Linked DNA regions of Macaca fascicularis. The protein of the gene in region 1 purifies or fractionates together with the protein of each later gene. This does not show direct contact. Links are inferred from orthologs where the notes say so. Each region holds a gene or a part of one and is shown on either strand. Other genes may lie near its edges.

Evidence for each region.
Region 2: the proteins of TESK1 (region 1) and RABEPK purify together in Homo sapiens (affinity purification with mass spectrometry; 3 studies listed by BioGRID and IntAct, with this or other methods). This does not show direct contact. The link is inferred for Macaca fascicularis from reciprocal best matches to the Homo sapiens genes TESK1 and RABEPK.

The regions. Positions count from the first base shown.
Region 1 is NC_088389.1:63,792,453-63,798,877, forward strand, and holds the start of TESK1 (dual specificity testis-specific protein kinase 1), read right to left. Parts: upstream 3,702-6,425; 5' UTR 3,342-3,701; coding exon 3,123-3,341; intron 2,978-3,122; coding exon 2,856-2,977; intron 2,725-2,855; coding exon 2,676-2,724; intron 2,123-2,675; coding exon 1,976-2,122; intron 1,633-1,975; coding exon 1,550-1,632; intron 1,378-1,549; coding exon 1,287-1,377; intron 1,032-1,286; coding exon 948-1,031; intron 800-947; coding exon 710-799; intron 566-709; coding exon 451-565; intron 100-450; coding exon 1-99. UniProt on the Homo sapiens protein: Dual specificity protein kinase activity catalyzing autophosphorylation and phosphorylation of exogenous substrates on both serine/threonine and tyrosine residues.
Region 2 is NC_088389.1:18,837,950-18,843,715, reverse strand, and holds part of RABEPK (rab9 effector protein with kelch motifs), read left to right. Parts: intron 1-2,363; coding exon 2,364-2,525; intron 2,526-5,766. UniProt on the Homo sapiens protein: Rab9 effector required for endosome to trans-Golgi network (TGN) transport.

The DNA of each region.
Region 1 (6,425 bases):
ATTCTGGTGATGGGGGCAGGAAGAGGTCTGACCGGCTTCGGGAAAGCCGGGGGTCTGGCCTAGGAAGCGTGGCAGAGGGACCCCCTCTTGGAACAGAGCCTGTAGACAGAGAAGTCTGTAATCACTGTCCTCAGCATTTGATCACAGCTCCTTGAGGGCCTCACTATTCTCCAGGAGGCTGGTGGGACTAGAGCTTGAAAAAGGGAGTCCCACCTGGTTCTTTGGAAAGGGGCGATGTCATCTCCAGGCCCCTTTTACTTGTTCCCCTCCCCTCCCTCAAGCTTTAGCATTAGGAAACTGTCTTCTTTGAGATGTCCTCCCACCCTACCCCAGCCCGACTGCCAGCCTTTTCAACTAATAAATATATTTAGCCTCCTCCATGTCATCTCTGAGTTTTAAGGATGAGAAAGGCCAAAGGACTTAAGCTGGGTCAAGGTCATGCTCACTTACCCTGATTGTGTGTCAGGGGAGTCCTGGTGAGTGGGGCTGGCTCAGGCAGCTGCTCCAGGATCCATTCCAGGTGCTGGGTGATTTCGGTGAAGGGGGCACGGGTGCTGGGTTCCAGCTGATGGGTAGAGACGGGAATGGCTTCACTCAGTGCTCCGAAAGAGGGTCTCTGAGTTTCCTCCCATCACCTGGGTCCCATAGGGCAGCCATGGCAGCTTATAGATGGGGGCAGGGTGGAGCGGAAGGGCTGTGAGGCTCTTACGCTGCAGCAGTGGATGGCCAGAAGCAGGAAAGGCAGTGGACAGTCATCCCCCACTAGAGTTCGGAAGGCAGGCACATCCAGGCCAAAGTCCTGTGGGGACAGAAGGAGGGACCTCCAAGTCAGCTTTTCTTGGGTTCTCCTTCTGCTCCCCAGTCAGAACCTCAACCTCTAGGGAATCCTCCTTGGTTATGAGCTGGCTAGTCTGGAGTTCTTCGTTTGCAAACCTGGAGACATTCACCTCAGTGCGTGGTAGGTAGTCAGGGTCTGCAGGTACTCGGGCGATGAGCTCACAGAGGACAATTCCGAAGGCAAAGACATCAGCCTGGGGGTCAGAGATAACAGTGTCGTGGAAGAATTAACAGTTTTCATTTCAGAATTTTGACAGAATATAGCTGAATTTGGTTGAGGGTGGGGGATCTTGACAGTTTTCATGTGTTGGAAGGGTGCCTGTGAGGGGCAAAGGGATCTTGGGGACTCCTGAAGATCTGGTAGGGTTGTTTTGGGGATGGATGGGGCTTTATGAGAAAACCTCAAGGGTCTCGGAAGGCCTTGGGGATCTGAAGGGTTGATGTCTCACCTTCTCATCATACAGCTCACCCCGTAACACCTCTGGAGCCATCCAGTATGGGGAGCCCACCACAGCCAATGGCTCCTTTCTTGCCCCCTCCCTGCAGGGGCAGGGGCAGGGTGGTCAGAAACATCCTACTCAGGCATCTCCCCCAGGGAAAAGGGGATGAGGTGAACTCCCTTCTCTCCCCAAGGGAAACATCGCTGGGGCTCTGGGGACATCAGATAGGGGCACTCTGGGAGATTTGGGGGGAACAGGGACATTCACCTCACCTATACACAGGAATCTTTTCAGCCAGCCCGAAGTCACCCACGACAGCGGTGAAGCCTCGATCTTCCCGTCGGACTAGACAGTTCTGACACACACACACATAGTATCCCCAAGCACTCATCACCTTCTGCCCTCTGGCCTCCCAATGTATAACCCAAAGCCCTGTCACTCCAGCATAACCCCAACCCTCTCTGCTCTCCCAGTTTTTCAAGGCACTTCAATATTGCAACATCACCCAACACTCCAAACACAGGGTGCTATTCAGTCCCTCCGAGCACTCCCCTCACCCTGGTCCTCCAATATTCTCCAATGCCTCGCCACTCCAACATCCTAATATATCTGTTATCCACATTCCAATGTCCACAGGACAGTTACAACCTAATAGTCTCAAACCCTCTTTCATGCCTCCACCCACCCCACTAGCCTACCTTGGATGTAAGGTCCCGGTGAAATACACCTTTGGAGTGCAGGTACCGCAGGCCTCGGGCAATGTCCAGGGCCAGGCGGAGCCTGACAGGCCAGGATAGGGGTTCAGGGGAGCTGAGCAGCTGTTCCAAGGTCCCCCCATTCATATACTGGTGCATAGGAGGAGAATGGGAATGGATGTCAGACTTCAGTCTGTATTCTAGGTCCCCCACTTATAAGCTAGGGGACACTCCGGAGGATCACAGAGGTCAGAGGGGTAAGATTGTGCTGTAGGACCCTCCATCCATGTTCTAGGGTTGCCCTGTTCAACTCAGTAGCCATTAGCCATGTGCAACAACTTAAATAATTTAAAATTTTTAAAATTTAATCAAGTTGACCCACAAAAAAAATCTAAACAATTAACATAATTTAAATTTAACCACATGTGGCTAGTGGCTACTGTATAGGACAGCACAGATAGAGAACATTTCCATCACTGAAGAAAATTCTATTGGACAGCACTATTCTAGGGGATACAGAGAATAAGACCAGCTGAGGCCTTTTATACGTGGTTTGCCTAAAGGGAAGTTCAGGAAAGCCTCCCCTGGGAGGAGATCCTGTTGCCTCTCACTAGTCCTCCGTAGATCCACCAGGCCTGTTCACTGCCTTTATCCTTGGGGGTGAAGGGGGGGTGGGGATCCCTCCTTCCTGGTCTATCCTCACCTCTGTAAGAGCGTGCAGCTGTCCCTGGTGCACACAGACCCCCATGAACCTGCAAGAGAAGGGGGAAGATAGAAGGGTAGGCTGTTAAGGGCCTCAGCTCCTCCTCAGTTCCACGTTTCCCGCGGGATCTTTCCTTTTCTCTCCCGCCCAGCAAGCTGCCCAGAGACTGGGGCCGCTTACCTTAGGATGTTGGGGTGCCTGAGCCGGTTCATCAGTTGCACTTCTCGTAGTGTGTTGCCCCGGTTACTGGGGAGCTTGTTCATCTTCAGCACCATGACTTGCCCTGACTGTCGGTGCCGAACCTGGGGGCGGGGGCGGCCGGCGAGGGTCGGGCAGGTCGGGAGGGTCGCCCGAGTCTGGACCCTCTTCCCCGCACTCCCGGCCCCCTAGTTGCAGCCTCTGGTTGAAGGCTCGGTCCCGCCCCTCTGCCCTCTCGGCCGGTCCTACCTTGTAGACCTCAGAGAAGAAGCCGGCCCCGATCTTCTCCGCGCAGTGAAAATCGTCCACACGGGCCAGGCTAGACACGGCGCTGCGGAGAGCCCGGTAGGAGGAGGGGCGGCCGCGGCCCGGGCCTCCGCCCGCGCCCCCCGGCCCCGGGGGCCCCTCCCCCGGCACCTCTCCAGGCCCGGGCCCAGGGCCCCGCAGTGGGGGCCGTTCCCCGGCCATGGCCGGGCCCCCAGCCCGGGCCTGCCTCACATGGCAGGGTCCCCGGGGCCCGGGCAGGCCGCGCTTGCCATGGGCGCGGGCCCAGCCAGATCCTGGGCGCCCGGACTCCCGCTCCCGCCTTGAGAATGAAGATCAGCCGAAGATCCTGGACCCGCCCCCGCCGCGCCGGCTAGCTGGGCCCGGGTGGACGCCGCGCCGCTCCGCTCTGCGTAGGCCTGGGCTTGGGCCTGGACCGGGCAGTGGCGGTGACGGTGGCGGCGACGGTGGCGGCAGCGCTCCCGGGCGCCGGCGGGCTAGCTCGCCGCGGGCGGAGGCGGGCGGGCGGCGGCTGCTCCGCTTAGCCGCCGGGGCTCAGGCTCCGCGGCCTGCCGGGGGCGGGGCTGGGCCGGGCCTCCGCTTAACTCCTTCCAGCCCGGCCTCCCGGCAGCGGCCACGCCCCCTCAGGTGCGCACCCCCGCCTCCCAGCTCTCCGGCCGCGAGGCCCTGGGCCGTCCGGGTCAAATAAGCTCAGGCCTGAACTTGAATAACGAAAGGGAATTAAGGGCTGATGGTGCGCATGCGAAGCTTAGCTGCCCAGGGAGTCCCCTGTCCTCCCTGGGACTGTCCGTTGTGGGTCGGGCTCAGAAACCTGCCGGATTCTTGGGCTCCAGGGACCAACGGGGCAGAAACGTAGGCCCCTCAGGCCCAGTCGCAATCTGAGGCAGCCCAGCAACCTGTCCACCTTCCTGGCCTGCGCCGCGGCCCAGCCTGCCCATTTCCCAGGTCTCTTCGACTCCGACACCTTGAACCTCTGGCCTCCCTAACACCTTCTACCTTCACGGGAGGTTGTGATACCTCGGGGCTATAGGGAGCCTTTGGCCGGCCCATACCCAGCTTAGCCCCGACTCCTCACTTCATCCTGCCATCTCCCAATAAAGAAGAGAGTCCAGGTCCTCCGCCCTGTGACTACCCAGCCGGGATCTCCCTCTTATTACTTTGTCCAAATGACTCTAAGAGAGAAGCCACCACCTGCAGGGAAGCCCCTCCTTCCGCAAGATCCCACCCCCTCAAAGAACGCTTTCTCTCGGAGACACCTCCCTTTCGGGAGCACTTTTCCCCAGTGTGGCACTGCCACCGTCAGTGTGTGTCAGAACCCCTCAGTGCTGCACCCCCTTGCTCTGTGTTCCTCCCACGCAGTGAGACCCCACCTCCGAGTGACTCCACTAAGTCATTGTGACCCCTCCTCTCAAGGTGACTCCTCCCCTCAGTGTGACCCAGCCCTCCTCAGTGTGAGGGTTCCGCCCTCCACGTAGGAACACGGTCTGTCCCCTCAGGCCAGAGGAGGGGCTGCAACTGGCCTCTTTAAGTCGGCGCGGTGCCCGGGTGCGCATGCAGTCTGCGGACTCTGTGCACTTGCCGTACCAGATACTTCCGGTTCTGCCGCTGGCTCCGCCTCCGGCCTCGGCAAAATAGCCAATCATCGCCAGGGTTGGGTGGTGACACGCGATCCCGGCAGGCCACTCCGGGGCAAACGGTTTAAATGGGCGTCGTTGAGCCGCTTGCCCCCTAGCGGCGGAACGGTAGGCGGCGGGAGTGAAAGCTGCGGTACCGGGTGCGGAGGCCGGCTCAGAGAGCTGAGGAAGCGAGGCTGCGTCCGTCAGGAATTCTCAAGTACTGTATTAATATTTCTGTAGTAACCTTAAAAGAAAATTAATACAAGCACAGTCCGTATCGCGTGGGGTTACCGTCTTCCAATGGAGTCTGGTTACACGTTTATGAGAGTTGGAGCCAAGAAGTACTACTCAGTTGTCGAGGGCTACTGAGAAAAGAATAAAGACGGTCATAAATGATACATGATGCCTTAGAGTCAAGAGAAGGCCAGATGCTGTCTTGGTGCGCCGTACAAGGGAAGGTATTGCACAAGTTTGGAGCGAGAGGAAGGGAGACGTTCGCAATCCTTCCACAGCCGGTGGAGGCAGGCCAGCCGCAGAATTGCCCAGGGCACATGCATCCTGTTCTTTTTTCTGGAGGCGTTTGGTCTCAGCACACGCTCATTCATCATATTTAATGCTAACATCTACAACTATTTGTGAATTTGCTTTCTATTGTTGTATGACATCTGTAAACACTAGGAATTTATGCCTCATTTTGTTTAAGTAATATCATAGATCTTTTAACCGATATTGGGTTCTGGCCCTTTATCATGTTTGAGAATTACTGTAATAGTAATGGTAATTCCAAGCCAAAGAGCCAGATGCCTATTTTGGAAAGATGATTGCGGTGGTTGTATGGAGGCAGGGAGACTGATTAGGAAGGAGGCTGTGACTGTGGTTTAATCAGGAGAGGATGAGACCAGCCTGGCCAACACTGATTAGGAAGGAGGCTGTGTCTGTGGTTCAATCAGGAGAAGATGAGACCAGCCTGGCCAACATAGTGAAACCCCGTCTCTACTAAAAATACAAAAAAATTAGCGTGACGAGGTGGCGGGCACCTGTAATCCCAGCTACTTGGGAGTCTGAGGCAGGTGAATCGCCTAAACCCGGGAGGCGGAGATTGCAGTGAGCCAAGATCGCGCCATTACACTCCAGTCTAGGCGACAAGAGCGGGACTCTGTCTCAAAAAAAACCTTTTGTTGTTGTTTTTCAGACTTTTTATGATGGAAAATGTCTTAACACATACACACGCGCAGAATAGAATAATGAATGTTTATTTACGTTGGATTAGTAAGACCATTTTGTTGGAAACCCATAGTGCAAAATTGGTTTGCCTTTGCCTCAGTTGTACTGTTGTCATATTTGACCTGGCCTAGGTGAAAGTACCGCTTTCATTTACCCTTCTATACCAGTGATTCTCCAATGAGCAATTCATGGCCAATCTTGTTTCATCTATACCCGTGCCCTCTTCCTCACTCCGTATTTGTGTATATTTCTGACATATCATTTCATCCTGTAAACTTTTCAGTATGTTATCTCTAAATGATAAGGATTCTTCTTTAAAACCAAATCACAGTATTGTCACACCAAAAAATAACGATAGTTCCTTCATATCATCAAGCATCCAGTTGTTTACATTTCCCCCACTGTCTTACGTTTGATTTTTAAAAAT
Region 2 (5,766 bases), about 45 Mb from region 1:
AAGCAATTTGCCTGCCTCAGCCTCCCAAAGTGTTGGGATTACAGACATGAGCCACTGCACCTGGCCAACATCATTTTTAATGGCTGTATCATGCTCCATTATATATAAAATACTCCATAATACCGTAATTCCTCCATTTATGAACATTTAGTTCCTTTCAGGTTTTTACCATTATAATTAACAAAGCAGTGAACATCTTCATTCAGAAGTCATAGACTGTATTTCAAATTATTTTCTTAGGGTTCCTGCCAAGCAATAAAAAGACTAGGTAAAATATTGTGAACCTTTTCAAGGTTTTGATACATACTACCAAATTGCTCTCCAGAAAGATTTTTCCAGTTTATCCTCTCTCCAACTGTGTTTAACAATGTTTCTTTCATTACTGACCAGCACTGAATTTATCAGTTTTAAACATTGCTAATTTGATAGGCAAAAAAACTTGTGCACAGTTTAAATATGCATTTTGGGCCAGCGCGGTGGCTCACACCTGTAATCCCAGCACTTTGGGAGGCTGATCACCTGAAGTCAGGAGTTTAAGAGCAGCCTGGCCAACATGGTGAAACCCTGTCACTACTAAAAATACAAAAATTAGCCTGTAGTCCCAGCTACTGATGAGGGTGAGGCAGGAGGATCGCTTGAACCCAGGAGGCAGAGGTTGCAATGTGCCGAGATCGTACCACAGCCTGAGCAATGAGTGAGACTCCCTGTCAAAAAAGCATTTTTTGACCTGGACATTTTTCACATGTCAGCCAACTCTTGCTCAGTTCCCTCTATCAACAATATATTTGGGGTGTTGCCCACCTAATGCATTTGTTGAGTATTGCCCGATAAAAAAATAAAAATTAAAAAAAAATCTATTTGTACAATAGTTGGTCAGAGTTCAGGAACTAGGACCAAATTTTCTTACATGTCAAGTATTTAAATTCCTTCAGCATATTTAGACAGTATGTTATCTTTCAATTTGATTTATTTGTTTGGGTATGTATTTCCTGTCGTCCCTCCTCCTCCCTGCCCTCCCTCTATGGAACATAAGTGCTTCGAAGGGAAGAGTTTGTTTATTGTTGAATATTCAGGGTACAGAACACTGTCAGAAATAGAGTAGACACGGCGGGGCATGGTGGCTCACGCCTGTAATCCCAACACTTTGGGAGGATGAGGAGGGCAGATCACAAGGTCAGGAGTTCCAGACCAGCCTGACCAACATACTGAAACCCCGTCTCTACTAAAAATACAAAAAAAAAAAAAAAAATTAGCTGGGCGTGGTGGCAGGTGCCTGTAGTCCCAGCTACTTGGGAGGCTGAGGCAGGAGAATCGCTTGAACCTGGGAGGTGGAGGTTGCAGTAAGCCGAGATCGCGCCACCGCACTCCAGCCTGGGTGACAGAGTGAGACTCCGTCTCAAAACAAAAAAGACGAAGAAAGAGATAGACACTTGGCAGACCATTTGGCTAATTGTGAAGCCAATTTGCTTGGAGGAGTAGCAGTATGATGTGGTGGTTAAGGGCACAGATGAGGGTCTCTGCTTTGCTAGGCACTAACTATGTCCTTGGACAAGTGACTTAATCTCTCTCTGCCTCTGTGTTCTGTCACGTTGGATAATAACAGTTTCTGCCTTGTTAATTTGTCAAGGATTTAAATAAACTCAGTATCTGGCACATAATTAATGCTCAATAATTGTGGTAGTTGGTGTAGTTAAGGTTTGGCAAAGGGAAATCAGTTCTAGAACCCTGGCCTTTCGATTTCCAACAGTGGTATCCATTGAAATAAAATACAGTGAGAATTTGGAAAGCTTCTGTCAAAGAGGGTGATTTTATTTTATTTTATTTTATGTTATTTTATTTTATTTTATTTTTTTGAGACAGAGTCTCGCTCTGTTGCCGAGGCTGGAGTGCAGTGGTGCAATCTCAGTTCACTGCAACCGCCGCCTCCTGGGTTCAAGCGATTCTCCTGCCTCAACCTCCTGTGGAGCTGGGATTACAGGTCCCCACTACCACGCCTGGCTAATTTTAGTAGAGATGGGGTTTCACCCGATGTTGGCCAGGCTGGTCTCGAACTCCTGACCTCAAGTGATCCGCCTGCCCTGGCCTCCCAAAGTGCTGGGATTACAGGCAAGAGCCACTGCACCCAGCCTGACCCCATTCTTGTACTTACGGCTTTTAAATCTTGGGGATTTTGGACCGTCTTGGCAAATCCTAAGTATCATCTTCATTCTTCCTTGATGTTTGTGAGTATGAGATCCCTGCCCAAAACTAGGCTGTCCCCACTTGGGATTGGAGTCTGAAAACTGACTTCACTCAGCCCCAGAGTCAAGGTCAGAAGCCCCTCAACCTCGGTATTTTAAGTGCCTTCATTCTCTCTGGCCCAGAAACCAGGATGTGGACCACGCCAGAAGTGACCAGCCCCCCACCATCCCCAAGAACATTCCACACATCATCCGCAGCCATTGGAAACCAGCTGTATGTCTTTGGGGGCGGAGAGAGAGGTGCCCAGCCTGTTCAGGACACGAAGCTGCACGTGTTTGACGCAAGTATGGACTGGTGGGCACCTTGGGGCTGGTCAGGGCCATCCCAGTCTACAAATTACCTAATGTAGGAAGCAGAAGTTAAAAAAGGAAAGCCTGCTGGGCGCGGTGGCTCACACCTGTAATCCCAGCACTTTGGGAGGCCGAGGCGGGCGGATCACAAGGTCAGGAGATTGAGGCCACGGTGAAACCCCGTCTCTACTAAAAATACAAAAAATTAGCCGGGGGCGGTGGCGGGCGCCTGTAGTCCCAGCTACTTCGGAGGCTGAGGCAGGAGAATGGCAGGAACCCGGGAGGCGGAGCTTGCAGTGAGCTGAGATCGCGCCACTGCGCTCCAGCCAGGGGGACAGAGCGGGACTCCGTCTCAAAAAAAAAAGGAAAGCCTGTTTCACTTCTAGACTTCTTTGTTATATCTCTTACCTGGTATCTTTTTCCCACAGCAAAATTGGCATTTAAAAAGGGATAATGAGGCCTGGTGCCCCAGAGCTTTGGGAGGCTGAGGCAAGTGGATCACTTAAGGTCAGGAGTTTGAGAACAGCCTGGCTAACATATCTGGTCTCTACTAAAAATTAAAAAAGTATCCGGGCATGATGGCACGCACCTGTAATCCCAGTTACTGAGGAGGCTGAGGCAGGAGAATCGCTTAAACCCAGGAGGAGGAGGTTTCAGTGAGCCAAGATGGGGCCACTGCACTCAGCCTGAGTAACATACTCTGTCTCAAAAAATAAATAAATAAATAGATAAATAAATAAATAAATAAATAAATAAATAAATAAATAAAACTAAAAAGATAGGCCGGGCACGGTGGCTCACGCCTGTAATCCCAGCACTTTGGGACGCCGTGGCGGGAGGATCACCTGAGATCAGGAGTTTGAAACCAGCCTAGCCATCATGGCAAAACCCCGTCTCTACTAAAAATACAAAAACTGTCTGGGTGCAGCGGTGGGTGCCTGTAATCCCAGCTACTCGGGAGGCTGAGTCAAGAGAATCACTTGAACTCGGGAGGCGGAGATGGCAGTGAGCCAAGATCGTACCAGATCGTACCACTGGACTCCAAGTGAGCCAAGATCGTACCACTGCACTCCAGCCTGGGTGACAGAGCGAGACTCTGTCTCAAAAAAAAAAAAAAAAGAGGGCCGGGCGCGGTGGCTCAAGCCTGTAATCCCAGCACTTTGGGAGGCCGAGACGGGCGGATCACGAGGTCAGGAGATCGAGACCATCCTGGCTAACACGGTGAAACCCCGTCTCTACTAAAAAATACAAAAAACTAGCCGGGCGCGGTGGCGGGTGCCTGTAGTCCCAACTACTCGGGAGGCTGAGGCAGGAGAATGGCGTAAACCCGGGAGGCGGAGCTTGCAGTGAGCTGAGATCCGGCCACTGCACTCCAGCCTGGGTGGCAGAGCGAGACTCCATCTCAAAAAAAAAAAAAAAAAAAAAAAAAAAAAAAAAGAACAGAGATAATTCTATATGTTACATTTGCATCCTGAATTTTTCACTTAAGTATTGTTCCATGCAATCAGAAAGTCTTCACCAACATTTTGAAATTATTATTATTATATAAATATAAATATTAGAGTCAGGGTCTCACTGCATTGCCAAGGCGGGTCTCAAACTCCTAGCCTCAAGTGATCCTTCAGCTTTGGTCCCTCAAAGTGCTGGCATTATAGGCATTGAGCCACACCACCTGGCCTTCACCATCATTTTTAATAAGTGCTTAGGTTGGGCGCGGTGGCTCGTGCCTGTAATCCCAGCACTTTGGGAGGCCAAGGCAGGTGGATCACAAGGTCAGCAGTTTGAGACCAGCCTGGCCAAGCTGGTGAAACCCCTTATCTACTAAAAATACAAAAATCAGCTGGGCACGGTGGTGGGTGCCTATAATCCCAGCTACTCAGGAGGCTGAGGCAGCAGAATTGCTTGAACCCAGGAGGCGGAGGTGGGTGGATTACCTGAGGTCAGGGTTCAAGACCAGCCTGGGCAACATGGTGAAACCCTGTCTCTACTAAAAATACAAAAAATTAGCTGGATGCGGTGGCGGGCACCTGTAATCCCAGCTACCAGGGAGGCTGAGGCAGGAGAATCCCTTGAACCTGGGAGGTGGAGGTTGCAGTGAGCCCCGATCATGCCACTGCATTCTAGCCTGGGCGACAGAACAAGGCTCCATGTCAAAAAAAAAAAAAAGTGCATAATATTTCATCATGGCTGTACCAATAATTAAACCTGTTGATGGACACTTAGGCTATTTCCAATTCTTCTTTATTATAAACAATACTGTAATGAACAAGCCAGGCATGCTGACTCATGCCTATAATCCTATCAGCTCAGGAGGCTGGAGAATCGCTTGAGCCCAAGAGTTTGAGGATGGAGGGAGCCATAATTGCACCACTGGCACTCCAGCCTTTGCAATAGAGCGAGACCCTGACTCTAAAAAAAAAAAAAATATATATATATATATATATATACACACACACACACACACACACAATAAGGAACATATTTATGCAAAAACCATTTCAGGTAATTTTAAATTAAATTCCTTGGGACACCGGGGGCTCCTTGAACAACCAGCAAGCATACCATAAACAGTAATTCAAAGATAAATTGTTTGGCAGACCTTTGCTTCAACGAGTTTTTGCAGGCCAGGCGCGGTAGCGGTAACATGCCTGTAATCCTTTGGGAGGCCACTTTGGGAGGCCAAAGCAAGGGGATCACTTGAGGTCAGGAGTTCAAAACTAGCCTGGACAACATGGTGAAACCCTGTTTCTACTGAAAATACAAAAAATTATCCGGGCTTGGTGGCGGGCGCCTGTAATCCCAGCTACTTGGGAGGCTGAGGCAGGAGAATCGCCTGAACCGGGAGGCAGATGTTGCAGTGAGCCAAGATCACACCACTGCACTCCAACCTGGGTGACAGAGCAACATTCCATCTCAAAAAAAAAAAAAAAAGGTTTTGCAGTACTCCTTTAAGACTTTTCTGGTATATAGATATGATTAATTTTTCAGAATTCTATATATGTTCAGCTTTGAAGATAAAAAGGGTTGCCTGCAGTAAAATATAATAATAATCAAATTCATAACTCTCATGTATTATGTACTTTTTTTCCTTCATGCTTTAAGTATATTATCTCATTTAATTCATACCTCAGCTCTTAGAAGTAGGTATTGTCTTTTTTTTTTGAGACGAAGTCACGCTCTGTTGCCCAGCCTGGAGTGCAGTGGCGCAATCTTGGCTCACTGCAACATCCACCTC